Linked DNA regions of Styela clava. The main gene of each other region encodes a partner of the protein of the gene in region 2 in a complex. Links are inferred from orthologs where the notes say so. Each region holds a gene or a part of one and is shown on either strand. Other genes may lie near its edges.

Region 1 (8,996 bases), on a different chromosome or scaffold from region 2:
ATTCTCCAAATATTCAAAAGTAAAAAATGTGCAAGTAAGAAATACTTTTCTCACATAACCCGTACTCTTTTTTTCAAAATGCGTTATATGAAGACGAAGCCTATAAACGTGATGTCACAAATACTTTATTTATACCATCAGCATAGGTGTTGGTTTATTAATTAATTATGCAAGGTTGGCCGGCCCTTGCGGGTATTATATTGTCATACTATTATTCAATAGTGCAGTGATTTTCAACCGGTGTTCCGCGGAACACTGGTGTTCCGCAAGAGACCTCCAGGTGTTCCTCGAAAAATTGCTTTTTCGAAGTATTATGACGTCATTCGAATAATATAAATAGCGTCGATTTGAAAATGGCGAGTCAGAGTTTTGGAAAGTCGGTATAAAAAACTTGTAACCAGATAAGAAATGACAGGCCATATTCCCTTTTAATGGACTTTATCTCGGCGTGTATTTTTAGTGATCCATTCCATTCTTGACCAAATAATGTTTCAAAAATGTGAACATTATACTCGACCACGAAGGGAGTCATCATCGGAGTTGATTACATTCGTTGCATTTTTAAGCTTTTCTTGTAGTAAGAATTAGGGTGTGGAATCATCAAAATCGTCTAGTGAAGTGTTGATTTTGCAAATAAAATTGTGAATTTGTAGGTAACGATTATAGCTATGATAATGGTCGCGGTATTGTTTTGTTAGAAAAGAAAACGTGAAAACTTGAGGTGATTTTCTAATCAGTCTCCCCTTCTACTAGGCACAAAAGCAATTGGGCACAAAATTGTTTACAATTTTTTTTCATCTCGCCTAATGACCACGTAGAAATGCCTTTATTTCAGCTTTTAAATCAACATTCAGGATTCACGCAATCACAGATTTATCTAATAACAGTATCTAATTGATTTATTTCGGAAATAACACAGACACCAGTGTGGAGCATAAGAAACTCAATTATCGTTTTAATAAATGTGTGCTCGATAATGATAATATTATTCGCCTAAAACTGGGACGTTTAATTTGCAAACGGCGATAAGTTAGATCAAAGTCGGGGCAAACGATAAAAATCAGAATAAAATTAAATTGGAATGTAAAATCGCTCCACAATGTCAATACCATCTGTTGTCGATATGAACGCATATAGTTATATCAAAATATGAAACTTCGATCTCCGCCGATCGGCAAGAATTAATAATTGCGCACAAGAAAAAAGGCGGTAATATGAAAACGTTCAGGGGGCAAAAAAAGTAGCGATTATGACGAAATTAAACAGTAAAAATTGCTTTGTTGCCAATTTTCAATGTTTCTATTAATTTCCAAATCGACTTCCGACCCTCTGGACTCCTGTTGCGTATAAAAAAAACGCGAGAAATTGAAAGCCGTTGAGAAAGAGCTCTCCCCATTTACAGCCAGAATGAAATATTTGAAACTCATCGAAACAGACCCAAATATCACATTAATATACCATTTCTGTTTCTAGCTAATCATAGTATTTATAAGCAAACCCGCAAAAACATTTATTTGTACCGTACTTTAGCTCTTGTAGCTCTGAATCGGAATGTGTCACGTCTTTTCCAGCTAAAGTTGACAAGCTATATTATTAATTTCGTTATTTTATTTTCATGCCGAAATGATCGATGTCAGTTAATTGCATAATATAGTTTATTTTCAAAAATCTCGTTTGGTGTTCCGCCACAACTTTAGATTAGAAAAAGTGTTCCGCGATACGAAAAAGGTTGAAAACCAATGCAATAGAGGTACAGCGTGTAGCTTATACAGTAGTTGCAAAAACATGTGAGCGTTGGGCATCATTCGCAAAACGCTCGTAGTCCATTAGAATCGGATAAAATTTCTGCTCATATGTTGTGCAAAGTAGTTTAATTGAAGTTTAAATAAGCTATGGTTGTGTGAGTGGCGGCGCGTGGTCATTTTGACAACCGGGGCAAGCTACTGCGGGACCAAGTCACCCCCATCTACGGGGACAGGATGAGCGCTGTAAGTTCTATCATCATTTTATGAGTATAAAAACCATTCCATCGGTAACAACCAATCGGCAAAAGCGACAATTTTTAACGATAAGTAAGTGTCTTTAAAACCGGTCCAAGTCAAGGGATTAATAAATATAGACATAATTTATTTTGAAACCTCTTTCAAAAGGAAAGGCAATATTTACCCAGATAAATACAATGACATATTAACAGAAACTTCGGGGAAGCAGACAAAACCTAAAAGAAGGTTTAAAACGTTACTATGAAGAAAGGAAAGGTAATGCAAAGATAAGGACATGCGTCGCTCACTCATAGATATATATGCTGCTAGACTTCTACTGCTTGATATATGCAACACGCCGCGGTTTCTTGGAAGCAAAATGCTCAATAACGCGCTGATTAAAGTCATGCATCCCAGAAATAACGTCTCTGTGAATGGATAAAACAGCCAAGGAATTTAATCTATCTTGCTTCATTGTGTTTCTGAGATACGTTTTAATACGCTTCAGCGTGCTGAATGTTCGCTCTGCGTCGGCGGAAGAAATAGGCGTCGTCAAAATGATGTCCAGAAATTTTGCAGACGCCGCAAAGGTAGTTACTAGAGTGTTATCTATGAGGAACCCATAGAGCGCGCAAGTTGATGTGATGTTCTAAAAAGTTTGATTGGTGTATATACATCGCAATTCATTTTCCAATTCACCCACGTTTATCATGGGGTAAAATTTGGAGACAGTAGCCAACAAATGGATGGGAAATTGACGTGCAAATTTTGAAAAAATTTTGTGGTTCATCAAAGAGAACGCGGCAAGGTGTTCAGTGCGCAGACGATCGCCTATTTGATTCACCAGAATGTCACAGCATTCCTTTGCAGACAAAATCAAACGCTGCGTTGTTTGCCCGCGGCGTAAAGAAGCACTCCATGTGTCGTCGTATTTTATTGTTTCCCGGATACGAGATACAGCATCGCAGAAGTCTGAAATACACGACTGCACAGACGCTCCATCCATTAGCCTTGACTGCAATGCGCCGTATAATACATCCACGTGATAGAATATTGTGGAGAAAAAAGAGAGAAAAAATGAAAACTCACCATCTTCTAGCAGACGCTTTAGACCTGCCGCCTCTCTCACAGAGCGTTCGTCCCAAACCGGAGAGCTCTGAATGCCATTGCAACACTCAATGAGCTCAGACCTAATTTCGGACACGCCCTGCACCACGCGTGATTGGAAGTTCCAACGTGTTGGTGCACAAGCTGGGAGACGGCGGCTACATATCTGGCGAAGGAGGTCAGAGCGCTTCGGCGAAACGGAAGAAAATGAAGAAAACCCCGAAACATTTGCAAAAAAATATACGGACGAGAGGGGTATCAAGACACATATTTTTAATAACGAGGTTAAATTGGTGTGCATAACAATGTGAAAAATGCGCATTAGGAAAATCTTCTTTTATATTAACTTGAACACCATGTTTCGACCCACTCATGACTGCCGCGCCGTCATAAGTTTGAGCTATCAATTTCGACTTCGCGTTGTAAGGCTGTAACACTTTTTTCAGTACAGCCGATATCCCGCAAGCCGTGCGATCAACGATTGGTACAAAGCTGTGAAATCTCTCGGTAGGTTTACCATCTTTCACAAACCGAAAAATCACAGCCAGTTGGGAAACGCACGTGATGTCAGTTGTCTCGTCAGACTGAATCGAAAGGAACTGGCAATTCTCAATTTCCAGAGCCAAATGTTGTAAATAAATTTTATACATTGAGTCGAGCAAATCATTTTGGATATCCTTAGATGTCCCTTTCGAAACAGTTGCGGCATCAAGATGATCTCTCAATACTGTATCTAGGGATGCGGTGTATTCCACCATATCCAAAAATACCCCTCTATTAGAAGAGCCAGCCCGTTCATCCTGCCCACGGAGGGACAGCTCGTGACAACCAATGAACTTCAAAACATCTATCAATCGACCGAGAACATGGCGGTTTTTCTCGACGTTTTGGTTGTGCCGACGAATAGAAACTGCGCGTCCTTCATCCAACTGTGCTGCAATATTAACATTTTCGAATGTTCAGTATTTTACTGCATTGTCCAGATGCTCCATAGAAGATTGATGATCCCTGGCACGCTCGGAAAGATGTTTAAGATCTCTAAAACCAAATTTACACCAACGTGAGTCACGGGCGGTAGCAAAAAGTAGGCAATAAAAACAAAAAAGTGCAAAACACCAAGTTTCTGCGCAGAATGTACGCCGACGCTTTCCTCCGTCATGGGATTGTTCCAGTGAACAATTTTTTGGTTGATAAGGCCCAAGACTGCGAAAACGGAGTGCGAAGTAGTGCATCAACCTTATTCATTATGAGGTCTAAGGCTAAGAAATGCGAAGCCGGAAAGAAGTGAGGAGCTCAAAAGGAATGTGGAAAATCGAAAGCAAATAGACTAAAGGTCTCTAACTGATTCAAATAGCGAAACAAGCGACAAAAACGAAGGCGAGGAAACTATAAACTCTTCAAGCAACCAACGAACGAGAAGGAATGCGTGAATATGTCAACACGTTGTTGTAAGAAACGTCGGCATTGTGTCGTCATAATTTCGGGGCTAGCCCCGATCGGCCCCGATGATTTAGTAAAAGAAACAGAAAACAAACGAGACAAACGCGGCGAGTGGAAGATAAAAGAGAGAATACGATATACAATGAGCAACCGGGGCAAAATCGGCGTCGAAAGCTTTGCGAGCGAAAAATGAACCATGTCGGGAGAATATGGCTAGCGTAGACAGTCTGTGCAACCGATATTGAGGTATTTTTCGAATATTTTTTATTATACCGAAAAAACAACCGGGGCATTGCCCCGGTTGGCCCTATTGACGCGCCGCCACTGGTTGTGTCTTTTTTTGAGTGAATAGATTGGAATCGACGGAATAAGAGCAACAGTATAAATAGTTGAACATGTTTAAGAAAACACGCCATGTGAGGCAAATAATTAACTTTCAAATACCAAAACACTTACTTGAAGTTTGGGAAACGAGGTTACGTAAATGAAGAAAAATAATGCATTCGTGGTGCAACATAAGCTAACAATTTTACAGATTGTCGGTATCAAACTATATTTCAAACATGGGTATTATGAGTGCATACTCGATAAAAACGTTCGCCTGACCTATTTTTCAGGCTGCATCAGATTGGAATCTTTATTAATCTATTTTTGTGGTAAAATGAATGGTTGACGTAAAATGAAAGAGCCCTCTGTTTGAAAACGTCTGCATAACGTCATGTGTCAGACATCAATGAGGTCATTCTAGAAACTGATATTTTATTCAATATTTAAAAAAAAATTAACCAAGTAACAAATTGTTTGAAAAAATGGTGAGCGTCTTTATTCACGAAACACTTAATCTTTAACAACCAAATACGGCACTCGAAACGGATACTTTTTAAATTAACGAGTCTTCTTCGCTGGTAGTCATTTCAATTAACAATCTTCATACGTCTCTTTGTCTTAGTTATATATAGTTTATTTTAAAGCCACTGTGTAATAATTGTTACCTAAAATTAGAATGACCGATTAATAATATTTTTTGATGTTCAAGATAAGCGGTGATATTAAAGTTGCAAAGTTTTTGATTTCTCGGGCATATTAAATATTTCGTAGATATTTTTATTCAACTTCCCAAGCCTCTTTGTGGTTTAGGTATTTGTTTGTACCAGCAGATGGCGCTCTCAATAACAGGCTCGTTACCATGGTGAGCTGAACCATGCGTGACAAAATAAAACAGCTATACGACTTTTTAGAAATTTCTGGCGATTATCTGTTTAATTTAACTTACAGTTTCTGAATTACCCTAGAATATGACGGAAGTTCTTACAGTTCAACACACAAGAGATGTTGGTGCGGGTGTTTTGCTTCCGCCGCTCAACTTGAAGAGCAAGAAGTCAAACAGGACCAGGAGTGGAAGCGCCAACAGCCAACAGGTTGAACAACAATTTGTGTCTAGTGTAGTTTCGTAGGGTGGTGTAGCCAGTCTGCGGACGGTTTCATTCAAACCGCTATAAAACAAAAACCAATATATCTATCCTGTTAATTTTTTCACCAGAGGTGCATTGGCATTCATTCTACACGCTTAACCTCGAATTAACTTTCTACGACCAGGGGTTAAAGCTATACAAACCACCAAAGTACGACACTCAAAAGACATATTTGCGACCGAACGACCAGTGTGAGATCACAGATTTTGGGGTCTGGTATAGTTTAGTACCACATGCACTTTTAGTTGGCCTGGCTCAACAATTTTTGCATATGTCAATCCTAACCCCCACCTGACTACGTCACCGAAAAATTACGTCATTTCGACGTCACAGTGGCGTAATAAGACCCACCAAAGTATGCGGATGATCGTCCAAAACGCGCAGACGGTCACCCGAAATTGAGCAAGCTATTTCTCTCGTTTTCTCGTCACAACGATCACGATCGGAGAGAGATCGTCGGCGTTAGCGACTCGTTATCGGCGGCGCAGGTGCCATTTCAGCGATCGTAATTATACTTTTGCAATCCTATGACGTGAAGGTGGCGTCGTAGTGACGGAATTTTTTGATAGCATAGTCAGGTAGGGGTTAGAAATAACATATGCAAAATTCGTTATGCTACGCCCACTGGAAGTACTTGTGGTACTAAACCATACTAGACCCGGATTTTGTGCCTTGAAAATCGTTTCTGCTGCGTCGAAACTACAACATACACGGCCATGTGAGAAAAAATTAGGCTTCCCATTGCATTTCTGACCGTCATAGATTTTAAGAACACAGTTTTTTTGAACACAACTCGTCAAATTACAAACAAAGCACCGCTTTACAGCAATCAAATACACAAAAACATGGTGGTCGCAAATTGGTCGACAAAGATATTATTGACCTATTGGAAATGCATTCCCCATTCTCCCTTCCTTAAATGTGGAAACGTGAAACTTTAAAAGATGGTTAAAAGTAATACAACTCTACCCAACTGACAAGTTTCATCTTTTTATTTCTTGTATTTCTATGGATTTTCAAGCTTTACTACGGGGACAATAGGTAGTTGGCGACATGAAAAAATGATTTTTTTTTTGGTCAGGTTTTCGGTCGTAACTTCGTTGTTTGTGGCCCAATTTTAGTGTAATTTTGCAGAGCTATGGGGGATAAGTGGACGATAACGCGTGGGAAATATTGTTGCTGTTCCTTAATTTTTTCAGCAATAATAACATCGATGAAGTTGATGGTCGCAAAGTGGCTAAGCCACCCTATGAACTGATTGGGATGTACTGACCTAGTTTACTCAAAATATGAAATATTAGCTCATTTCTATTCATGGATTTTTTATGTGATAGCGAAATTAGAATGAGAGAATTTCTGAATGCACATACTAAGTTATTCAAGGGATTTATTAATTAGCATATATCTATCTGCATGTCAAATATCAATATATCTAAATAATGCCAGATTATATTTTCAGGGTGTAGCTGCTGCCTTACGTATTCTTGATCCAGCAAGAAAAAAGTTGGGAACTGTGGAAACCCAACGAATTATTGCTTGCCTTGATGAAACAATTAGACGACATGAACTTCTTGCAATTCTTCCGACTATCACTTTGCAACTCGCAAGATTCAGTGTTTCCTTAGGGAATGAGCTTGTTGCAGCAATTCAGACACACAAGTAAGATTAATAATACATGGTGTATATATTTGATAGAATATATTCCTAAATAACAAGAAATTTTGATATTTTATCAAAATATTTTCAGAGAAAAATGCGCCCTACTCGAAGATGTCACCAAATATTCCAAAGATTCTGAAAAACTTGAGAAGTTAAGATTAGAAGTGTCTGAATCATGCAAGAATGTTATGCGAGAATTTTCTTTAAATCCTGCTGTTGCGACTGCACTTAGACGTGACTTAATTCTTGAAAGTACTGAACAAATTATTACACATCAGGATGCAAAAATTATTGAGGCACTGAAAGGTAATTCATCCAAAATAACTCCTACATTCGGCACTGAAAACAATTTAAGTTATACTGAAGGAGAGGAAAGCCGACGACTTAATCACGAGGCATATAAACCTGGTTCCCAGTGGGGTATGGGATTAGTTAGCCAGTTATTTATCTCAGATGCATGGACTTAATGGTGGAGGAAGCAGAAACCGTAATCGGCCAGTGGCTATGTGAATTCAATTGTGATTTTATTCATTTTGAAACTAAATGCAGTGCTTTTATCTTAAAATGAAATTGTCTGAACGCAGCAATTTTCTGCTTTTTATAAAACATGACTGAAGACCAAAAATGTATAAAAACAATATTTTTCTCAAGAATTAAGAGCGATCATGCTTGAATTGTTACTGACAACACCAGCTGAGGAATCGGATAGATCAAGTTATTTGGATCAAGTTTCGAAAAGGGAAAAGCAAAATTCTACTGTTATAAATAAACTACAGGCACAACTTGATTCTGCAATCGAAGTAAGGATTATGCATTTTATTTTTATAATATAATTATTTTTTTTTTCTTCAAGCTAAATTGTTTTCATAGAAGTATTCAGGTATTATCGCATTTTTAAGGAAATGTAAAACAGGTGATAAATTTAATTGTGACTTTCGAGGTTTAATTGTAATTAATTTCCCATGTTTATGGTTTAGGTTCGTTTTTTTTTTCAAGAAGCCTGCTTCAAGTTTGTGTATACGAGCACATTTTATGCAGATTATACACCTAATTTTGTGTTGGTATGGTTTAACTTTTGCATTATTTTTTCTGCTACCTGAACTGCCAGTGCTTGAAGTAGAGTTAATATTTTAATTCAGTAGAAAATAATTTTTGATAAAATAAGCCTGTTAATGTAAATTCATTCAGGATAAAGAACAAGAGACGAGTAAAAAAACAGAAACAATTCGAAGATTGAAAAATGATTTGTTTCAAATTGAACAATTCTCTGAAGAACATATCAGAAGGACAAAAACAGAATCTGATAAACAACAGGTACTTCGCTTTGATAAGACAA
Region 2 (8,694 bases):
CCCACTCAAAATATTCCTGCACTCTCTCAGCAGTCCAACCTAAAAATAAATTTCCCGTTAGAATGGAGTATTATTAGTGTTAAGCTTATAATATGCAACCCTTTTTGATCATTTATTTTGAAATTATAATTATTATCCCAAACTGGTGCCATAAATAGAATCACTGTAAAACAAATACCAATATTACCTTCTGGTGTTTCTCGACATAAATCCCTGAGATTGTAGAGTTTGTCTGCCAATTTTACAAGTTTAGCTTGTCTCGATTTATGTGGTGCATTCACAACCTGAAGGCGTTTTCTTTCTTGTTTTGCCAAGGATTTGTCGTCAGTCACCTCTGCTACAATGTCTCTGTCAAGCAGAAAAGTTTACAAATTGCTAATAATGTGTAAAAGATCAGCCATCTTCTTTCAAGTCCACAAGTACATTTATTACTGTTGTACCGTTTGTATTAGCAAGCGGGATGTAAAATTGTATCAACCTATCACTGTAGTTTTAAGAGTAATTTATGTTTTTGCTGATTGGTCCTAAACATGTCTTACCTTACTGTTTTGCCGAATATTTCTTCTATTTCATCTAATGTTGTATCTGTATCCTCCACAGTATCATGGAGCAATGCTCCTTGTAGAACTTCAAGTTCTGTAATGCATCCCTCTTCAGAAAGAATGTTTGCAACCCCTGTTTGTATTAAATTCTTAATTTTAAAGTTTGATAAATCTATAGTGTTCGTTGGGAATAGCAAATGAATATTCACAAGCTGGTGATTTCTGATTGAAAAAGAGTTTAATGCAGCAGTTTGAGCCATTATTATCTTAGGTATATGCATTCAGAAAGAAAGTTCTATAAAGCTTTACCCAGCCTTCAAAGTTTTGCCTCACTTTGAGAAATTCCTGCTTTTTGACTAGGGGAAAGAAGAGAACTACACACATATATAACATCATGTACAACTGCATATTTACTGTTGTAGTATCTGATTAAAGCCTTACAAATATGACACTATGTGGACTTTCGCAAAGCAGGCAATTATGTTGATGCTTCCGCAAAAAAGTCGCAATGGATATGACATCTCAGTATATACATACATACCTATTGGATGATTGATATAAGGTGTTTTTGAAACATCTTTCCTACGTTGGTCTTTGTGTTTCTTAGCGGCAAAGTTTGCTGTTTTTACAAGCACAGCTAAATCCATTTCAAATAACACTTCCTGGTTTCAGTGTCAGTCTGCAGGTAAACTAGCAGATAGCTATATGACTAAGAGGCAATAGTTTAATGTATGATTCATTGTGTGAGTATAGCGTAACTACTACACATAGAGGCAATAACAAAGACGCTAACTTGGCACGATTTATTGTATTGAAATTGACAAAACAACATTTTATATCAAAAAAAGTATGATTATTTTGAACTTTTATTCTAAATTTGCTATCCTAACAATCTGCTACTATAGAATCTATTCAGACATCAAACTTCTTCAGATGAATTACAGGAAGAATCAGAATCTTCATCTGGTGGCAGGGATGTATGGTTGGGATTACAGTGTTCAACACTTAAATCTATATCAAAAGGATCCCGTTCTTCACTTTTAGCATTAAGTTCATCTCTTTCATTTTGTAGCCAATTTTGTTCAGCTGTCTCGATACTTTTTGAACTTTCACAACTCTGATATAACTCCAAAAGTTCCTCATTCAATGTAAAAAAGTTGGGACCCCATTTAAAAGGTTTCAAAACAGATTTAGCACTATCTTCAAGCCCAACAATATAAAGTGTAGCTGCATATGCCTCCACACATGACAACCTACAGGGCTTGCCATAATTTATTGGATTCGTTGCAACCAAGTATGGTAAAAGTCTCAAGTGACCTCCTTTCATTTTTGAAAATGGAGTGTCTTGCAACCTTGCCCATGAACAATCAATTACAGCTATGCCATGAGCTAATACTTTGTCTTTATCTCCGGCACTGATATATTCAGTAGCCATCGGGCTTAATATTACTCCAGCGAATCTTTGTTGTAATTTCAGTAATCTAACTGCTCCTTTACGAGCAAGCTTTCTTCCTGTACATTTTTTCGGGTCACAGTGTCCCAGGTCCCACATTGCAAGGGGGCATGCTATTGTAAAATTGCTCGTCGTGCCTCTTGGTTCATGTAAATCCTCTTCATCCATTGCAAGTTGCGGCGTTTCATATTTATTTTTGTTTTTGAAGTTTTTCCTCCGTTGATGCTGTTTTTTGTGAGACATTGCTATTGTATATAGTGTTATGTATTCTAAATCTAATTATAATACAAAAAGATGAATAAAAATTGTATATAGACAACCAAGTTACATATTCCACAGTAAATGTTCATTCCATAACAAATTGAATATTCAAACACATTCAGTATTAGTTAGTTACTTAGTTTGATATGGTTATTTCTAGAATTTTAAAATAATCCATAATAATTCTTTTTTACAACATATCATAATCAATAGTAAAATTGCCCACAGGCGCAGCAGTTAAAAATATCTTTATAAAGTTATGTGCTGTAACAATTCCATGCAAATTTTCCACTCTATTATAAATGTAGAAAATATTGTATATTAGAAATAGTTTATTATTTTAATTTAGCAATTATAGATGAGATGAGATTTTTTTTTAGGACAGGAACATATACTTTTGAATACATCATTCTATGCATAAAAATACAAGATTATTGATCAATTATAAAAGATGAGAGCAATAATAAAAACTCATGAAAGTTCATATAAAACAAATTCTCCATTCTGTTACAACTCGTTCTTTATTTAATGCAAGAAATTCATTGCATAATAATTTTCTGTACATGATACAATAAAATATAGTACTCAATTGACTTCAGCTGTGCATTACATACAATCAAGCTTAGACATTTACTGGATGCCATTCTTTAGATAACATTAAAGACAGGGGTGGGCAATTACTTTTCTGAGTGGGCCAGAGGCTCAAAAACTTAATATGAAAAGCTATGAATAAAAAACAGTTTATTTACAAAAGCTAGTTCAACAGCTAGGCTAACATTTATATAATAATAAGAAGCACAATGTGGCAATCGGGGTCATTATGACATTATTTTCAATGGAAATTTATATCCATGAAAACCATAGTCGTAATTGCCGCACACCCAAGTGTACCGGGCCTTGCATATCCCTGACCAAAGAGAATCAATCATTACTGATAGAGTTAAGACAGCTGGCAAACTATACATATTTATAGAGATAATCTTTCTCATGACATCCAAAATCATCCTCTCATGAAGTATGACCCTATTTATGTGGTAAAGATTGATGTTCAGTATCACTAAACATGCATAAACAAAGTAAAATTATATTTGAAACATTTAAATTAAAATGAACATGAAGTTTCATTTAAAATAAAAACACATTGTTGATGATAAAGCACATTCGATTGCTTGATTTATGTTTGAAAAAAAAACTATGATAACTATTTACAAGAGAAAGTCTGATTTGGTAATCACTTCACAAGAAGAGCATCAACCATACGATTTTTGAGTTCTGGATCACTGGGCATCGCAAAAGCAATATTCGCCAAGGAATATTTCCTTTCAAGGAGCAAGACAAACTGCTCAGCTGTAACTCCTTTGTCCAAAATGCTTAGGGTCAAATCTTCAGCTGACAATGAAACTCCTTTACCACCACCACCAGATCCAATTTCGCACTCTTTGTTATTGTAGTGAGAAGTTCCACCAATGTTTGCTTGATTGAAATTTCCTCCACTAATGTTGTATTTAGTGTTTGAGGCACCTTTTTGGAAAACTTTTTTCTCTTCGTTGAAAACAGTGTCACCTCTGTTACCAATTGCCGCTTGACCAATAGTACCTCCCACAATATTGAATTGGTTGATGGCACTTCCACCTCCTGAAGTGTTATATGAAACTTTTCCAGGATTAACAGTTCCAAGATGTCCTGTTGCCCTATTAACTTCAGCCATAGCTTCTCTTACTGTGTCCTCAACATATTGTTTAGTTGATTTTCCCCCAGTATACATTTTTGGCACTGCAGTTGCATCACTTTGAATTTTACGACCAGACATAGTAAAATGTTTCAACCACTACCGGTACCAAATATCAAAATTTAATTGAACAGAACCTGACAACGCTATGCTCATTTAGGAACTACTTGAACAAAAAGAAAAAAATATGTCATACTCAAAATATTATTGTAATTTACTGTTGCAATAAAATTCTTTCAGATTTATGATTAATACTAACGTTTGAATAACTTCGTGCTATTACTGTATCATGTGCCATTAAATTGGTGCTTCGAAATCAGATTAAAGTGAAGCCTTATGAACGAGTTATTCATGGCGTAATTGCCCCATTTAGCACAGCTCGCTTGACACAAAAGTTACCAGCTGATCTGCTGGGAAGAAAACGGTCAAGACGGGTACTTCCTCTTAGTGCAGCGGTGATCGGAGTCGATCACATTTTTATCCTTAACCTTTTAGGCTGAGTCATGCGTTCCTTGTCTCGCGTCAAATTTGCCAATGTTTATGCAGGAATGATTGGTTTGTGCACTTGTGCCGAAACCTACTTAACAAAAATAAAACAAATTTCTGTCCTGTTATGTTGTTTAAAGAGTGAAAATGCACTTGGATAGAAGTAAAAATGTACTTTTCGAATAAAATAGAAATAAAGAGAGAGAATCATTGCCGCAAAAACAAAATCAACACTAATATAAACATAATATATTAAAGAAAATATTTCAGCAGTAATAACAGTGATTGATTATTGTTTTGTGCGAGTCGGTGTGCAGGACCGGTTGGGTTCATCTAGGCTCCCGACCCTTGTGTTTATGCTATATATAAGCACATCATGGCATAATATAGTACCAGGGTAAATGCGAATGGATTACCGGTACATAAAATATAAATAAGATAAAGAAATTAGTGAATGATGCACAAATAAAAGTGTAAAATATGTCATAAATTACAGTTAAACATGTACAGAAACGGGATATAAAAATGAACATTTATTACGATTTTCCACGCATCTGGAACTCTGAATTGTTCAACTATTCCCATAAATATGAAAATCCTATCCAAACTGCCATCGGACGACAGTTGATGGTTAGATTTTATTTCAATTTCATCTTCAACGAGTAAAAATCAAACAGACGAACTATGATTATGTCCAAAATAGTTTGTACTAACTCTTTGTACTAACCACATGTAAAATGAAAATCTTGCACGGGGTAATCGCTATAATATACAGGGCCATCATTCTCTGTGGCTATAAATAAGCAATGAATACACTGCGCCGCAAACGACTATGAATGGTTATTTTATTCTTTTAGCAATCATTACAGCAACGTGTCATAGCAGAGAGTGAGTTAAGTTTTAGAGGATTAAATATAAATATACAGCGGGATTGTTTGGAGAAAAACAAAATATTTGGGACCATATTTAGTCACGCGAAAGAATCAGTGACCCGCGACGCTGACCTGATATGTTTCTAAGGAGACGGTGAAGCAGCAAAATTCCCGCGAGACGTTCTGATTTCTTTTTCTGTAAATGATTTTGCTAGTCTATATCTACTAAGTTTCTCTTGGTGCGAAATAAAGGCAATGGCGTCACTTCAAGGGATCGATCCCGCACTAAAAGAATATCTTAAAGTACACCAACTTCCCGAAGTATATGAGGTGATAACAATACTACACAATTTTCAGATTTAGGATTTTTTTTCATATTTTTTCTCAGGTTGCAACAAAGATAAAAATACTGCTAAAAATACAGCCCAGTTTTGCTAATATAAAGTAAATAAATAATGAAAAGTACCCTAGTTCCAAACACTCAGAATCTGCGCTAATCACCCAGTCAATAGCATTCCTATTGTGCTCGGCGGTGTGGCTCATCGTGCTAAGCGTTAGGAATACGCTCACCACGGCATCTCCGTAGGTCGTGGTTCGCCATATGATTGAGTCGTCTTATCGGTTTTTTTCACCCCCTGGATGAATATGTAAATCCTATCCTATCCTTCAATGCTGTAATACTAGTTTAGATATTTAATGATTGTAATTTTATTACAAACCTTTCATTTTTCGCAGTGTATCCTTACTGGTTTGATGATAGCATGTCCAGAGGATCCTTACAAATGGGTTGTTGAAAGCATTAAAAAAATACGCGATCAAGGTCTGGATACAATGACATGGTAGGTGAAGGATTATAATTTGTATGTAATGGTAGGACCTGCATCAAAATAAGTTTGCATATGATGTTAAATCTTCATTTAACATTGCGTTTTTGACCACTAACTTTTGCTCTTCATTTCAGGGATATGTTCGTTCCATTTGAATGTCAGCCAAAGATAAAACAAATGGCAGAAAGTTACTTGGATGAGATTTTCAAGTTTTATGACAAGTTAACCGTAAATTTTTTTAAAATATTTCTTCTTCTTTTATTCAAAGTGAAACGTCAACTAACAGTGCAATTCATAATTTTAGCCATCACCAGATATGCTGAAAGCAGCCTATAGCCATTATTATGGCAGATTACAAAAGATATGTTTCAAAGGATGGCTTAAATACTACTTGGACAAGAAAAATCATCGAAATATGATTCGAAATAAAGTCAAAGAAGCCAGACAGTATGTACAACTTTGGACATACTTGAATTATCGAGCCAAATGCTGTATTTAAATTATTTTAAGGACAGTCATGTGTAATTTGAAGCCTAAACTTGCCATTTATACATGAAAAATAAACAACAGATATTATTTTTTATATTAGTATTTGGTTTACTTTAAACTGTTTTTTTTTCAATATCAAGATTTTAGAACTTTATTTCAGATACCACAGGACAAGAATGATGAGAATATCATTTTCTAAATGGCATACTTGGAAATGTTACGTGAAAAAGAGACAAAATAGTAAAATATATCTATTTTTATCCAACTGAAATAAAATAGCCCAATTACTGGGAAAAATTTCGGCAAATCTATCCATAGGATTCATAATTAAAAGCAATGACTTTTACTTTGAGGATTTTATCTAGATACTGGCTTTTTTCTCGCGGTAACCATATATTGGAGCTTTACTATTTTGTAGTTCTATATTATTTTAAAAAATTTTTTAGGTGGTTTTGATATGATTTCAAAAGTTTGGAATGAATCAGTTTGTCGGCTTGTTTTTCGAGCTTGGAGATCGGTTGCTGTAGACGCACGTAAGACTAGAGAATATTTTGAACGTCTAGAACGTGGAGAATTGGATGAAGAATTCGGTGTCGAAACTGGAGACAAGGATCTGCCTAGTGATACATTTAGGTAATGTTTGAATGTGTTAACTTAAAAAGAAAAACACTCAAGCCAACGCCAACATTTTAAAGATTAATTTTTCTACTAGAGATGAAGTGTCTTTGCTTCCACGAAGATGTGCTATACAAATATTCAGTAACCTGAACTTGATTGAACTTAGTAGATGTGCAAAAGTTTGTAGAGCATGGAAAGTTATCACTGGAGCACCTTCATTATGGAGTCATCTTAACTTCAGTAGAATTAAAAATAAGTAAGTGAGATACTTTTTATTTACACTCAAGCATCAAGTTAGGTGACTATTGGTGCTGTCTTCAGGTGATTACTTTAAGGTTTTAGTATGCAGGTATGTATATTTGTTTCAAAATGTGTAACTTCGTCTGCCTGATAAATAAATAAAAAGCGGATACTTTTACAGGACATTGTTGGTGTCTTAAGACACAGTTGCGAGACATTCATTGGTCTCTATTTTTGAATTTGAAATTAACGCTGGCTGCCTTCAAAAATGTACTAACCTAAAACATCTTTTTTTTTAAATATGGTGAGGGACATTTTTCAATATGGAAGTATAATCTAGGTATATTGATAACATTTTTAACATTATTTATATTTGATTTCAGAGTGAATGATAGAGCCATTATTCAGTGCTTACAGAAGAGTCGTCCATACCTTGTACATCTTAATCTTCGACAATGTTTTGCTGTGCATTGGCCTGCCTTCAAAGCAATTGCTGAATGCAGAAATCTTCAGGATATAAACATTTCAGAATGCAAAGGAGTCAATGTAATGCATTGTATATTATTTAGTAGTGTGTGAGCCCTTAATTTTAACCTACATTTGTGTGAATAATGATTTTTTCTACAGGATGAAATTATAAGAGCAATTGCTGAAGGATGTCCAGTGCTTCTGTATCTCAATCTCTCGTACACTGAAATAACCGATGGCACATTGCGTACATTGGCAAGATGTTGTCTGAACATGCAATACTTGAGTCTGGCATATTGTAACAAGTTTACAGATAGGTATTGCTGTCTATATATCATGAGCCTTTTACCTCATGCAGGGTGTTATTTATGACACCATGTTGAAATATAAAAAAAAATTGATTCCATCAAGTAACTTGCTATATTTGTAGCAAAAGCAACTCATAAAAAGGACAATAAGTATATATTGTATAACAGTTAATATTGGATTAACTAGAGGTATGCTAGAAATTAATTTGAAGAAAAGTCCATAATCATGGCTGAAACATATATAAGATATAATTATCCGAAGAGAGAGAAAAATTTCAATTTTTAAACAGTTAAGTTTTTTTTTTAACATAAATTGTTGGACAATGATTTGAAGTGGAACATTTCTTTGCTATAGAGGCTTGTACTATCTGGCTACTGGGAAAGGATGTAAGAAACTGACT
Region 3 (6,418 bases), about 3.2 Mb from region 2:
GTGTTCAGTAACATTGTATAGTTCAAAATACAGCCGGCAAGAGCAATGAATTTTGAGGTATGGGCATGGCATCTGATTATAAATTACATTATGGGTAAACCAAATTTTTCCACACTGCAACCCAGTACGTGAATTGATGTGTAGAAAAAAAGTCGATATGACTTGATAGAACTCACATCTTCACCAAATATAATTCTACCCGACATATCAACGGATATGTCCCATAGGCACGCAGAGCTAAAGAATTTTCCATTTCTGAATAAAAAAAACATCTGTATTCTGACGATGTGGCAATAATCATTAACTTTACTTGGGGGTCCCGCATTCTGGAACAAATATTTTTCTTCCCATTATTAATTCTTTTCTCTGGATTATTAATTCATTCGCGACTGGAATAGCTGAAAGCTGGAATTTCAGTGGTCTCCTTCAATTTTGCTCAGATGAATGACTCAACTCTGAGCAAATTCTCCTAAACCAAAGCAAGACATTCGAAAGTACTCTTATAGTCCTCTGAAATTCATTTTATAAAGTAATAATTTTGCTGTGATATAACAGATCATACAACAAAAACTTCAATCAAAACCGCGCCAATTAAAAATAAAATTAGAATCCGAATAATTATCACCAATATTGATATGCCACATTGCACCTTTGATGTGTTATTAAAATGACCTGAACATGGCCATATAGCATTCCATGCAGACTTGCAAGATCTTGACAAAAATTTTTATGACTCTCGGAATACTGGCCACCATTCTGTATTGGTGGTATCTCCCAGATGCGAATATTCAACCTCCAACCATTACAACTTTATAAGTATAGTTTGATAAGTTCATCACTTACAGCAGAAGGTGTCAGGACACCCAAATCAGTTATTAGTAAAGTGATATAAGATGGAGGAGTGTAGTCTACATTAGGATGTTCTTGGTCAAGATTCTTGGACTTGATTGTTGATGCTTTGTATTTTATTTCATTCGGTACATCTTGCTGATTTAATGGATAAAGGCGAACGAATTTAATGCTCTCGGCAGCAACATACAAGGGTTTATTATGTGCCTTTGCACAAACAGCAATTTGGTAACTTCCTATCTTGTTCATAATCCCACCGTTTTCTACCACACCTTCAGCACCAATCAATACAAGGTCTATTTTTTCCATAACATAACCAGCAGCTGAGTCAAGAATTACAGTCACTGGGATGCCATGTTCTCTTAATTTTTCCGCCATTATATTACCACTCATGTCTGGTCGTGATTCAGTGACAAAAACAGTGAAACGCTTTTGAGCTTCCATAGCTTTGATTAACATGTTCAAAACTACTCTTGAATATGAATGAACAAGAACTTTGATACCATCATTCAAAAATGGCAACCCAAGTCTGGCAATTTTTTGTCTGCTGGATGATATTTTTTGCAGGAACATTTCACCACGGCTTATTAGAATATCCTTCACTTTATCGAAGTCTGAGTGTTCTAAAGAAGATAGGGTGATAAAGCGAAGAAACAGTTCCGATCCAGACAAGATAGGTGTAATTCCTGTGCAGTCAGTCCTCACAAGCACTTCTATTGCACTTTTTAGATTATCTCGTAATCCTGATAATGTTTCAGCATGATCCTTTCTCAGATATTCTATTAGAGTTTTGATTGCAGCAACTGCGGGAGATGATTGAGTACTGTTTCGTAATTCCGACAAAAAATATTCACTTATCTCTTCATCATTCATGATCTCTTTCTGTGAATACCCTTGCTATATACAAAACAATACCTGCAAAGATAAAAAGAGATATGGTTCAAATAATATTTGTTGAAAAAAGAGGAAATTATTATTATTCAGTCCAGGAGTACAAATCACTAATGTATTTTACGCCAAAAGGCCTTGTATGCCACTGCTAAGTCTGTAAGTGAAAATCACTGGGAAGAAATAATTACAGAATTACGATTCAATTGTTTCAGATATGGAATATTATTAACACTTAACAAGTGAGCATTCTGTTTGGTGACAGGGTCCAGTTTTGTTTGATTGTGGATATCTGAAAAATCATTGCGAAATATTTTGAGAAATGTTTATACAGATGACATTTACAGCTTTTATTCAGTTATAAAATAATATTATGATTAGATATAAGAACATGGTGCGGTACCGGTACTGGATAAAAGCCAAATACAAATTATAGGGTCTAATAAATCCAGAAATCTGTAAATCCTTCTTATAATCCAACTGCCTGACTGTGGTACCGGTAATACAGTAATATCTGAATATGCTGATTGCTGACTACAACAGAACTAGGCTACTAGCGGTACCTACTAATTAAGCAAGCTTAATGAGACTACCTCTATAGAATTTCAAGTTACCAAAATCAAATTTTGTCGCAGGTCATTTCCATCGGATACCGGTATGCATTCGGAGTGGGAGTGGTGACTCCTCTGCGGCCCATGGGCCGGGGCCCATCAAGTTGTGTAAAGAAACTATTCACTTGGCTAACACAGACAGTCCCCGAACTCATAATAGAACTATAATGTAAAAAATCTGAATTTTTTTTGTCCTAACCCTAACCTGGTACACATACTACAGGAGTATGTTTTTTTGGTTAGAATATTGACAATTTGGTAAAAATTGAAAATTTTGTTAAGATAATTGAATTTTTCCTGATGGGGCCGCGGCCCATCAAGCTATGGGCCACGGCCCATGTGGCCCCGGCCCATGGGCCGTAGAGGAGTCACCACTCCTGTAGTGCATTCGGCACAGCATGATTGGGAACATGACGCAATGGTTGTGTCCCTTTACATACTGGTACCGGTACTCAAGACAGATTTTCAGACATGGTTGTAACTTGTAAATATTGGAGTCGCTATCTGTTTGTATGTTTTAGATGTGTTTCCGAAATTTTGGTACCGGTACCTTATAAATCAAAATACCATTGGTCGTTTTGTCTTCTGGAGCGTTCCAGTTTAGTAGTAGTGATGAAAAATAGTTATGAAACAAGTAAACTCGTTTGGAAAGTGCCAGGCGTATGTTAGTCGTTGGTGCCAGCAATGACAATAAATGTCATTGAAGCCAGGTCACGAAAACTGTCAAAGGGGTCAAGGGCCGGATTATTATTCTTGAAAATATCAAGTGTATCAGAACTCCATGACAACGCGACACGCTTCGTTCGGCTGAGAGTTTTATTTTGTGTTCTGCCGCTCGTACAAGGCTACCGGTATGTAGTAAGCGAACTAGTAACTATTTTAAGCTATGACTTGTTTCTATATGTATAAGAAATAATAATAACAACTGGAATGGAATTTTATATGTGTACGGTATTAATGCGTGACAGAGAGAAATGAACAGCTGTATTAAGGTATATTAGGAGGAGGAGGAGGATTTACATATTTATCCCGGAGGAGAGGAAAGCCGACAAAAAGAACTGACTGCTGCCAATACAAAAAAAAATGGAAAGCCTATGTTGACTCATCATGAAACCATATTTGGATTGAAAATGACTGAAATATTGCAAATGAATAATATTTTTGTAATGTGAAATACTTTGGTTACAATTAATCTCATATTGTTAGATAGTTAAGATAGATAGATAAGTTGTTAACGCTTTATAGGTACACAAAAGTGTGATTAGACCATCAAATATTTTTAGCAATAACTAATCTCACAGCCTGATTTTTTGTCATGATTTTACCATATATCATATACATCAGGGGTCGAGAACCTTTTTGGTCAAGAGAGCCATAAAAGGTACATATTTTCAATTGCATTTCCGTGCGAGCCATACAGCATTTCAGGCCTGAAATTTTACTCAAAAGTCAACAAATACAATGTCAATATACATTTAATGTGACTTCTGATGCTTCAACGGCTGCTCACATGCAGCCAAGTTGAAATCTACGATACACATCACCATCACCCTTCTTTCGTTTAGGCATCTCTGTACTAGTTTGATTTAAATATGACAAATACTGTAATTAGTACGTACAAACGGACGAAAAGCTTTTCTCTATAGCTCCGAAACTATAACACTTTGTGGCGTCACAAAATAGATTCCAGAATCCCCTAGTTTTGTCACAATGCTTGTCTGGTAATTCTCTCAAATAACATAGACATGCGCTGGGCGCACGTTTTCAAACGTCTTGGCAAATTTGGCTATAAATAGGTTTGAAAACTCGTTAACAATTGTAAGCTTAGCCTTACAATATTAGATTTTTCTGGGAGCCATATTTATGCCGCCATCAAAAGAGCCATATATGGCTCGCGAGCCATGGGTTCCCGACCCCTGATATACATTATGCTTTATTTTACTTCTTATTTATTCAAGCACTATCAAATTCTATTATAGTAAATAAATAAAATGCCACCAAAAAAGAAAAAGGGCAAGGGAAAGAAAGGAAAGAAGGGCAAAAAGAAGGATGTAGCAAAAGAAGAAGACAAATTTAAAAAGACTGTTAGAGAAATTGAAATTCTGAAAGAACATCTCGCTCATCGAAATGAAATTGCTCGGAGATCACAAGCCCAAGCATCAGATTGGAAGAATCGTCTTCATGAAATGGAGGAAAATCTTGAGGAGCAGAAATTGGAACAAAAAGATGTCAGTGCAGAGTTGACTCGACAATATAAAACGATGCACACGGATATGGACATTAGAATGCGAGAACTAAACACAGAAGTAGAACATCTAAGACAACAAGTAGCGAATGCAAGACAAGAGCTTGAAACAACGAAACGAGAAAAAGAAGAAATGGAACAGGAAAAAAACGAAACAATCAGAATATTGGAAAAAAGAATCGATGAAATGGAAATATCATACGAAGGAGTCCTTACGGCTTCGCTTGATTCACTTATTGGAAAAATTGATGAAGCTAAGGATAAATGGGATCAAGAAGGAATTAAAATACAGGAACAAACTAAAATTACTCTTCTAGAGTTCGGTCTGAACCCTCTGGATATTTGATAATAAATTCAGATAATTTGTTCTGTTGAAAGAATTGCTTACAAGGTCATACGGGAGAACATTTTAAATCCGCTTGCCTTCAATGATAGACAATAAAACTTATATGAATTCTAAAATCTGATCATTGGATTAGACTACCTGCTCATATTTGTTGATGATTATATTCAATAGCTTACTGGAGAACTAGGTATATTTTAATGTAATCCTGTAGTTTTCATAAATCATTTTCATCACTGTGTTGTGAATTGTGCGACTTTCATTTGTGTCTCACTATTTTTACCTTGTTATCATTAATTTCATAGTACCATATTGATAGGTTTAAAGGTTTTAGGGATACTACTGTATAGTTGTTGTGACTAAAAAATGCCTGTAAGATGGAGTGATGAAGATCCTGCTGAATTTGATGAGGAAGCATTCAAAATAGTCGACGACGTAATAGCAAAAGCTGTTCATGATGTTTCAGTTGAAATTAGACATAATTTGGTATGTATATTTTATATGATATGTCAAATCTGGCTTGGATAGGCCTTGAAGCTTCATATACCAACGGCGTTCCGGTTGTTGGACAGTTCATTGCGTTCCTGTTGTTAAAATAAAATTATGGTTCGAAAAGTCTGGTTTCCTCGGGAAACTTAGTTATTAATTGATGTTTTGTTGCATCATAATTATTTTTACATTTCAGCTGGCAAATAATTAGTGCACAGCAGTAATGTATAATGAATGTTTTGCCGACCTTTGACCCTTGTGAACATTTGTATTGAATTAGTATGAATATTCTTTCAATTTTAAAAAGTCATATTTCAGATAATTTCATTGTAGTTCTTCGGCTCTATCTTACGATAGACAAAATTACTGGTAGCGCCGTGTTGTAAATATATATTACATTTTCACGAATTTGGTGCGTTCCGGTTGTTACGATTTTTCTAGCTCATCACTGACCGTATATATATATATATATTTTCAGGCCAACCTTCCAATAATATTTGAAGATAAAGAAGACTTTGGAATTCCAAACATAGAATGGTCGTCTTGTGAAAACTTCACTCCAGAAAATGGAGTGGGTCAGATAGAGAAGTTCATCGCTGTATGTCTTGAATTTTGCTCTTTGTGCTAAATTTTATATATGTGTAATGTGTATGCAAATGTGTATTATATAGAGAACTTCACTAAACTATGCTCTCAAATGTTGAAGCCAATTATGTAGGTCCTCCTGAAGTATGCACACCAAGATGGCGCACAACGTGAACTCAGGTTGTGTACCAGGTTAGATTCAGGTTGTGAGACATCTTGGTGTGCATACTTTAGGAGTACCTATATGTACAATCTTTGACTGGTGATAAGTTAAGGCTGGATCTGTAATAGCTAACAAGTTACGGTAATTGTTTAATTTTATAGACTATAAATAGTTTTCAGGTTCTACAAGAGCAAGGAGTTCGGATATCCTCTTGCAGCATATTAACTTGTTATTCTAGTTCTTCG
Region 4 (8,476 bases), on a different chromosome or scaffold from region 2:
AAATATAAAAACAGCACAATAAAAGCAAATATACCTTCTGATGTGTTTTCAAAAAAGTTTCAATTTCAACATGAGTTCTGATTTCTTCATCTGTCTGTGCCTTGAGTAACTGCGATAGAAATTAAATTTATAAATTTTTGGACAAATTCTAGTTTCAAATTCTGAATTAGTTAGAAAAACCTCAAGCTTTTCTTTCAGTTGCTGTTCAGTAAGAATGCATTTTTGCTGATTTTGGTGAACATGGTTCTCAGCATTCTTCTTTACATACTTTCCTTCCATATTACTTTTTGCTTTCATTTCCTACAAGAAAATAAAACAAGTGTAATGAACACCTAAGCTTCGCATGAAGGATAAATGAAGAAAATCGATTAGGAATTATTTAAACTTTGAATCATATATTCATTGGCAGTGTAATAACATAAACAATGTTATGATTTATCATTTCATAAAGCTATCAAGTCAAAGCTCTGGTTGCTGCCATCAAAGTTCATCGCCCAGAGTATAACAACTTTCTTGATCAGTGCTTTGTTCAGAGCAATGATTTGGACACTCATTAATAAATTGCAATGCTTTAAATACACTGTCGAACTTATGCACATATTTAGTATGGTCCTTATATAATCTTAATATACAATACTTGTAGTTGATCTTTTAAATGAGCAATCATTTCATTTCGTTGCTGAATTTCTAATTCCTTTTCTTTCTTGATATCCCCAAGCTGACGCTGTAATTGTTTGATTTTTCTTCTGCCTTGTTCCTCTCTTAAAAAAATAAATCACAAAAAAAGTTTGAATTGAAAGTTAAGAATATTCCAATCATGCATTTCAGAGCATGTTAGTATTGAATAAGTCAAAAAATCAAGAAAATTAGTATTCTTTAAAAAAATGTGAATATTTTTTGGTCAAACATTTTACATTAGAAATAAATATATTTATACTGACATTTACTTCAAGGTGATAGATTTGAACAGCAATATGATTACAATAGCTGAAAAGCACATATTAAAGTATCCTTTTGATGGTGAAGAATGAAATTATTTGATGAGCTGCATAAACTTTGAAATAAGTGAATATATTCCATATATACATATCATATTAGAAATTGGCCATAAATTGAAATTGTTACATTAATATTGATGACGATTATTAGTCTCGCCCTTAATCAATAACATACTTTATAATTTTTTGTTGAAGAGCAGCTTTTCTCTCTTTTTCAGCAATTACAGCATCCAGAAGTGGTTGGTAATCAAAAGATTGCAGTAAACTTTGATGTGTCAATGTCAAAACATCTTCACAAAATTGCCTGAGAGAAAAACAAACTAAAATCAAAATGTTCAATAAAAATGAAAATACACAGATAGTCATTTAAATTTTGGAAACGAAACCTAATAACTTCACATAGCTCTACGTGCTAAGTGTTAGGAATATGCATGTCATTGCACCTCTGATTACCTTTCATTAGCTCGCAGGTTCGAATCCCACGAGGGACAATTATGTCTAGGAAAATTGCTGGACTCCTGGCCACCATAGAATGGTTGATTCACGTGACTGCTGGTCGGTTACGGCTTTCTCCACTACTAAAGCCATGCTTTTGAAAACAATTACCTGGCTAACTTATTCTGAAACAGTTCGCCATCTTATCGACTTTTCTATATAAATACTATTATTTGCTATATTTGTATTAAGCAAATCTCCAAAGACAAGTAGATACAATTTTGCACATCCAATTTTATACATCCATGGGTTATATAGTGAGTAATTAGGACCATGGCTACAAGTTAAGCATAAATATTATTAGTTTCACCTGTCCTTTTGTATTTTCACAAGATTGTCACTCGTCAGTGGGCTCTGTTTTAGTGACTGACTCACAAATCGATTGCTGGATGTCAGTGAACCTGTTAAGTTTTTTATCTGCAAAAATATTCAAAGGGGGATTAAATAAAAAAATAATAAATCGAACGCTTCATAAAATACCAAATTCAAAATGATCCCTTGCACGCTAAACCAGTGGTTCTCAAACAGTGGGGCGCACCTCACAAGGGAGACGTAGACAATTTTTTGAGTGGCGTGAAACTGATTAAAAATAAAAACATTTGTTATATTTGATCTTGCTCGCCTTCTTTTGGATATTTACATTTCTTCATTGTTTAGATATTGTGGAGAGCTAGAGTTCTTGTATCTTAATTATCCTCAGTGTTTTCGTTATTTACATTCCATCCACGTATTTTCATACTTTTACCTTACTATCTGTCATTTGTAGCTTATTGTTAGCTAGTTATTTTTGAGGTGGGGCGTCAGACTTGACAAATTCTAAAAAGAGGGTGTGGCTTAAAAAAGTTTGAGAACCTCTGCTTTAAACAAAGTCATAAAATTGTCACGTACATGCATGAGGCAATTTATGTATAGTGAAATTTTTATTTTTATTATACCCATTGAACCGTACATGAGATAGGCGTGATCAAATATCAGTTTCATTTTTCTATTTGTACCATTTCAGGTTAAAAGATAGTTGCTCATATATATTCTAACATACTTGATACGTGTGATGAGATCTAAGTTCTATTTTTCTATTCGTACCATTTCAGGTTAAAAGATAGTTGCTCATATATATTCTAACACAGTGTTTTTCAACCGGGGTGCCGCGGCACACCGGTGTGCCGTACAATACTGTCAGGGGTACCGTGGGAAATTCTCCAAATTGTGTGTCTATGCGGTGTAGCGCCCGACAGAGTAATCATGTAGTACTGTTCTATATCAGGTGTCAGCGCAGGTGGCAATTTGACTTTTTGTCATTGTTTTTATTTGATTACTATTCAAGATGTCCAATCCAACATCTTTCTTCAATGTTAAAAAAGCTTATATGAACAATATTACACTTATATTGTGAATATTAGGTCCTTATTTCACATTTTCAGCTGGTGGGATTTTCTCAATGAAAAAAGTGTGCCTTGGCTCGAAAAAAGTTGAAAAACACTGTTCTAACATACTTGATTTGATCCAACAAATGAGTTTCCACCGCCATCATTTCGTGACGATAAAATTGTGTCAAACTTTGATTCAATTTCACGTTGACTGTTGAGAACATTTTTCACATCTTTACTAACAATCTGCAAAAAATACATTCAGTAAATGACTTCTTATGAGCAGTTAACAGTATGGATATTCACAATTATTTTGAAATGAGCAAAACCTGAACTATATATGCCACATTTCCTAAAAAAGTAAGGACAATTTGTTTCACAAGCAAGATATATAGGCCACAATTTTGAATTGTTCGTACAATATCTATCTCCCAGAAGGAACAAAAAAGAAAGCATGTTTTTGATGAAAATGTGCCTGCAAAAAGTCAAAAAAACATGGAGTAACGGTACCAGCAATGGTATATTTGTACAGCACTACAAAACACAATAAACTCAGTAACTCACTTCCTTTGCGTCACTTTGGCCCTGATAAGAAACAGGTAGAATTCTTCCAAGAATAGAAAGTTGATCAATACAGTCTTCCATGACTGATGCATGATTAGCAGCGGTTGCGTGAGTGAACGCCATTAGTTCTGTAGTTCCTTGTAACAACTTCCAGATTGTCAATTTGTTGTTCTGTGTTACTTCACCGTATATTAATGGTTTTGAAATGTAAATTATTACATTATCAAATTTTGTTAGATTTCATTTTTTTTTTGAACTGTGCAATAAAAGTAAATACATACTTTAAAATATAGACTACTCAAGAGTTGGTATGACCAAATCATATAATCATAACACACAGGGCAATCCTGTCAATACAGCAATAGCCATATTTTCACAATATACGTACCAGATAACATGCATGAGAGATTTGACCACAAAACCTGATTTTAGTACTGGAATATGAATAAAATGGCACCGTGGTGAATATCGAACACCTATGGCATGTATAATCGCCTGGCTAAATCTATTTAAGTACGTAACTTATATCTAAATAATGATTAAAAGGAAAACAACATCAATCTCCTCGACCAAGCGTGTAATTTCGTCATGGTTACAGATAAAGGCAAATGGAAGTGCGCGGAGTCGAGATAATTTAAACCAATCCAAACCGATCGAAAACAGCTTGTCCCTTCAAATTCACGTAGTCAGTATTTTTTGCGAATCAAACTTAAATACTTACTAATTAATTTAGAAAAAATGTAAAATGAAAAAAACAGCATGGGAATGTGTGCAATATATAAGGTAAAGCAAAAATTTCGGGTCGAAATAAACTTATACAAAAAAAAACAGCCTCTTAGACTCCAAACTGAATTGCGCAAAATTATGTTATGATCGTCGTGATAGTTTTGTGACAACCGTAACCGCCGCAAAATACTTATAATTCGACGCGTAACACACAGATATTATGATAAGAACATGATCCACATGCTTACGGTATATTAGTTGATCCTCTGAAATCGAAATCTGTTCCGTCATCAGAGTATTTTTTATACAGCCTGGTTGAACTCTTTATCGAAATTTGAAACAAATTGGCCATGTCTTCGAGAACTATATCGTATTTTTATATGTGCCAAACTACGCGTAAAATATTGTTTCCCGTCACTTTCATTTTTGTCCATTTATCTTTTTATAGAAAAGGTTATGTGAATTAAATATAATACAACCGGACACAACATAAAGAAAAATAGCGAGTAAGATTGTTGCCTGTTGGCTGGAAATATTGTAAATAAATGATGGCTCAATATAGATGAAAATAGTTGTTTGTATGCAGGATTAAAGTTTAATGCTGGTAAAGTTATTGACATGTGAAGGACATCTTAAAGTTCGTCTGATGGATTTCATAACCAATGAAAACTTTACTTACCGACATGAACAAGATTTTTTAAGATCTTGATATTTATTAGTTCTTCAGCTCACACGCACATGAAATTAAAAATTATCCATAATTTTTGTCGCAATTTTCTCGTATACAGTGGCATTGTTAAACGACCACACCAATTTCTCATATATATTTTACAATATATTGTCGAAAAGGTATTGGAGAAAAAGTCGCTCATAGCCCCATTTGCCTTTTATCCACGCGTTCTCTGTGGAATATTTACGGTTAATTGTGCAGGTTAACACAAATTTGTGATAGCATTGGCGCAGTGAGATTTTAAATTTGTGCTCTCAAATAATTTGCTGCTTCTGGAAAACAATGTTTTATGCTGCTATATTCTACGTAGCATTGCTATCATTTATTTGTGAAGTAGACAGTGAATGGGGTGAGCACTTTTTATTCATTATATATTCATTTTTTATTCATAGCCAGCTCATTTTGCACGCTTTGCTCGTGACCACAATTCCCAATTTAAAAATTGTTATTCGTTCAGAAAGTGTTATTTTTAAATGTATCACCATCCACTAAAACCATATTAATGATGATTACAGTCAAGAACAATCATGATTAGCCGTAAAGACCGTTTTACAAAAATAATATCGTGTCCCTATTCTTTTACCGAAAAAGTACTTCTCTTGTTGAAAGCAATGTTATTCAAACGCAAAAGATTCGTTCAAGTTACATGGGTGCTTTGAAATTAGTTTTGCCTGTGAAACTTGTTTAAAGATATATATATGGTAGCACTGAAATAGCCTTTTACATTGTTTTTAGCTCTGTCTTTTGAAGATTTTTTCGACAGAGGAGGTAACCTACCAGGTTGGTGTATACTGTATAGGATACAATTACGTACCTGGTTTACAAACAACTTATAACATTCGTCAGACCAAATTTACTTCAAAATATTTGAACAAAAGTCCACGAACTCAAAATAATTTGTCCGTACTACGAATATATACCGCAGTACCTATTGCGCATTTGGCGCTCCAGAAGTATGTGCACCAAGATGGCGCACAACTTGAACCCTAACCTGGTACACATACTATGTTCAGGATGTGCGCCATCTTGGTGCACATACTTCTGGAGGTCCGCGCATTTTATAATTCTTCCTTCCCTGCCCAGAGTTGATAGATTCAAATATATGACTGAGTGAAAAACTGAGTGAGATTTCAGTGGTCGTATAATTCCAAAATGTATTCGTATTTAAGGCGAATTTTTTTCGCAGCTACAAGAAGTTTCCTTTAATTTCCCCGACTGCATCAACAGCAAGAGTGGTGTTGTTACGCAAACAGCCTATTTGAAGAATCCTGCTCAAAGAAATCACATTTGATTAAATATTAGGTAGATTAGGAATGGTAGGCGTATTTTATCGTAACAACCCATCTTAAACGCCAACTTATTATGTCCAAGTGGACTTTGGAAGAACATTGAAAATTTCGATTTGTATTTTTAGACTCGCATTTCCTGGATTGGTTTCAAGGCCCCCTCGACCGAATATTGGATGGCAGAGACATTGAAGGTTAGTTTAGACCAAGGGTGGCTGGCCAACCTTTTTTCGCCCGCGATCGACTAAAATCTTCAAAAAAGCTCGCGATCGACTGACTGATCGGTAATAAGGTCATAAACAAAAATGTACGAATACTGAATACGCAGATAACCTCACACACGCATACAAAAATTCCACCGATGCCAATAAGCTCGGCTCTGCGGGTGCATTCTCAATGAAATTGCCACAAAAATTTGCATTTTTTATACTACTATTCAATATGTTAATTTGATTATATAATTGTAAAAACTTTTTCATCCCTAGTTTTAATTAAAACGAAGCAAAGAAATGACTGTACGCCAATGCAGAGCTACGTTTGTAGAAACTTATTTGATGCCTCGTTTGCATCTTATATTGGAAACGAAACAGCAGCAAAATTCACACTAAAGTTAATTGTGTTTGTACATAATTTGGCATGTAGCTACATGTTTTTTTTTATGTGAGATGTTTTCTGTGTGCCGTTTTTACGCATAACAGATGCCCAGCACTGCATTTCATTATGCAAATATAGTATGGCATCATTTTACGTTCCACCCATTTCAATTTTTGGCCAGCACTGCATTTGATAGTTTTTCTTCATTTAAATTGTTTTCTGTGCGCCTTTTTACCTAGAAGCGTAGTGATTTCCCGCCATTGGGTTAAATGATTTTTAGTTTTTCCCATGGAGGTATGAGCCCCCGGTCCAGTAACTAAATCCAATTTTGGTAACTGTCTATTACTCAATAATGAAGCATTGCCTGATTCATTATTGAGTAATTACCATAAACACTATTTAAACTTTATTCCAACTTTTAGAATCCATTTTATCAACAAAAAAAAAGACAACACCACACAACTCACTGTTGTGCTGTCTTAGTCACGGGTATTTCCGGGTGATTGACATCAACTCACTGTTTTAGGCGTCGCGATGACAAAGCTGTTAAAGCGTCCGACCTAATATATATTATACTGAGCTTGTTCGGGTCTTTCACTCTAAAAAAAGCCTTTCACATGCGTCCACTGATATTTGAGGAATTACTATTATTTGATAAATCTTTCCGGTTCGGCATTGTCGACCCAATTTATTACACCCTGAGTAAGGTGGGGCAGAGGCGTGTCAAACTTTTCTGCTGCCCGGGACAAATTTCTGATGAGGATGCCCATTATATCAAACTTCAATTTGTGAGATAAACAAATTATAGATGTTGTTGCACATGAGAATAAATAAATTGAACATGGCAAAGGTAATCTGCAATGTTAACACATTTTAGTCTATTCAAGGCTATAGCGCCTCGTATCATCGGTTGCTTGTAAATTGCCTTTTTCGGAGCGAAGGATGTGAATGACCGCCGTATAAAAATGGATAATCTGACTGAAAGTCAATCGGTTCAATGAATTGATTGAAAACTGCTGTTAGTTTTATCCCGATTCCCACTTGTTACGACTCGAAATGATTATAGGCAGGCCATAACGTCTTTATTTCCAAGATTTGTTTTTATTTTGAAGAGATTTGTCTTACAAAATATTTTTGTCCTTATTTCTATGAAACGTCTACTACTGAGCTACCATAGGCTGGTGCCACTGCTACCGTTGTAAATCTATCACACTACTCTTGGAGTGAGACAATAACTTTCACACAGTGCAGAAAATGTTGTAGGATCGTTTGCCTGTCAAAACACGCGATATTCTGCATGTTCATTTCTAAAACATGGCAGTAGGGAAACTTGCATTTGTTACGTAATAATATACTCTATTGCTCTTGTCCATACTCAATTACTGCATGTGTACTTCGTATTTTGCGCTTGTACAGTACTATATTCTTCCTGTTTTGAAACACACAACAGTCGCAGTATAAAACTGGTTCAACGCAATTTTCTGGGCTATGTTATTGAATTTACTCAACATCAGACGCGATCGACTACTCGCGACCGGTCAATCGCAATCGATGTGTTGGCCACCTGGTGTAGATCAAAGTTCGTAGTTTGTGCGTAAAGATTTCAGACGTTTACCGGGCTCTAGCAACGTGAGTTAACACATTGGTGATCACTCAATGCGAGTGATATATATCACCTTTTACCTGAAGCCATCTGAACTTCCTACTTCTTCATAA

The links.
Region 1: F-box and leucine-rich repeat protein 13-like (region 2) and dynein regulatory complex protein 10-like share a complex: the UniProt entries of both Homo sapiens proteins name them as parts of the nexin-dynein regulatory complex. The link is inferred for Styela clava from reciprocal best matches to the Homo sapiens genes FBXL13 and DRC10.
Region 3: F-box and leucine-rich repeat protein 13-like (region 2) and dynein regulatory complex protein 12-like share a complex: the UniProt entries of both Homo sapiens proteins name them as parts of the nexin-dynein regulatory complex. The link is inferred for Styela clava from reciprocal best matches to the Homo sapiens genes FBXL13 and DRC12.
Region 4: F-box and leucine-rich repeat protein 13-like (region 2) and dynein regulatory complex protein 9-like share a complex: the UniProt entries of both Homo sapiens proteins name them as parts of the nexin-dynein regulatory complex. The link is inferred for Styela clava from reciprocal best matches to the Homo sapiens genes FBXL13 and DRC9.

The regions. Positions count from the first base shown.
Region 1 is NC_135253.1:8,309,891-8,318,886, forward strand, and holds the start of dynein regulatory complex protein 10-like, read left to right. Parts: upstream 1-5,709; 5' UTR 5,710-5,824; coding exon 5,825-5,947; intron 5,948-7,460; coding exon 7,461-7,660; intron 7,661-7,748; coding exon 7,749-7,966; intron 7,967-8,311; coding exon 8,312-8,460; intron 8,461-8,848; coding exon 8,849-8,974; intron 8,975-8,996. UniProt on the Homo sapiens protein: Component of the nexin-dynein regulatory complex (N-DRC), a key regulator of ciliary/flagellar motility which maintains the alignment and integrity of the distal axoneme and regulates microtubule sliding in motile axonemes.
Region 2 is NC_135258.1:12,567,724-12,576,417, reverse strand, and holds the start of F-box and leucine-rich repeat protein 13-like, read left to right. Parts: upstream 1-5,352; 5' UTR 5,353-5,598; coding exon 5,599-5,673; intron 5,674-6,078; coding exon 6,079-6,182; intron 6,183-6,304; coding exon 6,305-6,398; intron 6,399-6,474; coding exon 6,475-6,617; intron 6,618-6,819; coding exon 6,820-6,899; intron 6,900-7,105; coding exon 7,106-7,292; intron 7,293-7,371; coding exon 7,372-7,533; intron 7,534-7,900; coding exon 7,901-8,063; intron 8,064-8,144; coding exon 8,145-8,302; intron 8,303-8,648; coding exon 8,649-8,694. Other genes in the region: guanosine-3',5'-bis(diphosphate) 3'-pyrophosphohydrolase MESH1-like, read right to left, coding at 1-39, 188-348, 540-675, 1,084-1,189; 18S rRNA aminocarboxypropyltransferase-like, read right to left, coding at 1,462-2,238; uncharacterized protein LOC120338966, read right to left, coding at 3,488-4,066. UniProt on the Homo sapiens protein: Substrate-recognition component of the SCF (SKP1-CUL1-F-box protein)-type E3 ubiquitin ligase complex.
Region 3 is NC_135258.1:9,395,018-9,401,435, reverse strand, and holds dynein regulatory complex protein 12-like, read left to right. Parts: upstream 1-4,279; 5' UTR 4,280-4,339; coding exon 4,340-4,939; 3' UTR 4,940-5,241; downstream 5,242-6,418. Other genes in the region: translation initiation factor eIF2B subunit alpha-like, read right to left, coding at 811-1,722; A-kinase anchor protein 14-like, read left to right, coding at 5,303-5,422, 5,904-6,023. UniProt on the Homo sapiens protein: Component of the nexin-dynein regulatory complex (N-DRC), a key regulator of ciliary/flagellar motility which maintains the alignment and integrity of the distal axoneme and regulates microtubule sliding in motile axonemes.
Region 4 is NC_135256.1:11,518,801-11,527,276, reverse strand, and holds the start of dynein regulatory complex protein 9-like, read right to left. Parts: upstream 3,677-8,476; 5' UTR 3,548-3,676; coding exon 3,425-3,547; intron 3,107-3,424; coding exon 2,987-3,106; intron 1,911-2,986; coding exon 1,804-1,910; intron 1,303-1,803; coding exon 1,174-1,302; intron 762-1,173; coding exon 638-761; intron 301-637; coding exon 181-300; intron 110-180; coding exon 35-109; intron 1-34. Other genes in the region: uncharacterized protein LOC120327970, read left to right, coding at 5,163-5,229, 6,295-6,360. UniProt on the Homo sapiens protein: Component of the nexin-dynein regulatory complex (N-DRC), a key regulator of ciliary/flagellar motility which maintains the alignment and integrity of the distal axoneme and regulates microtubule sliding in motile axonemes.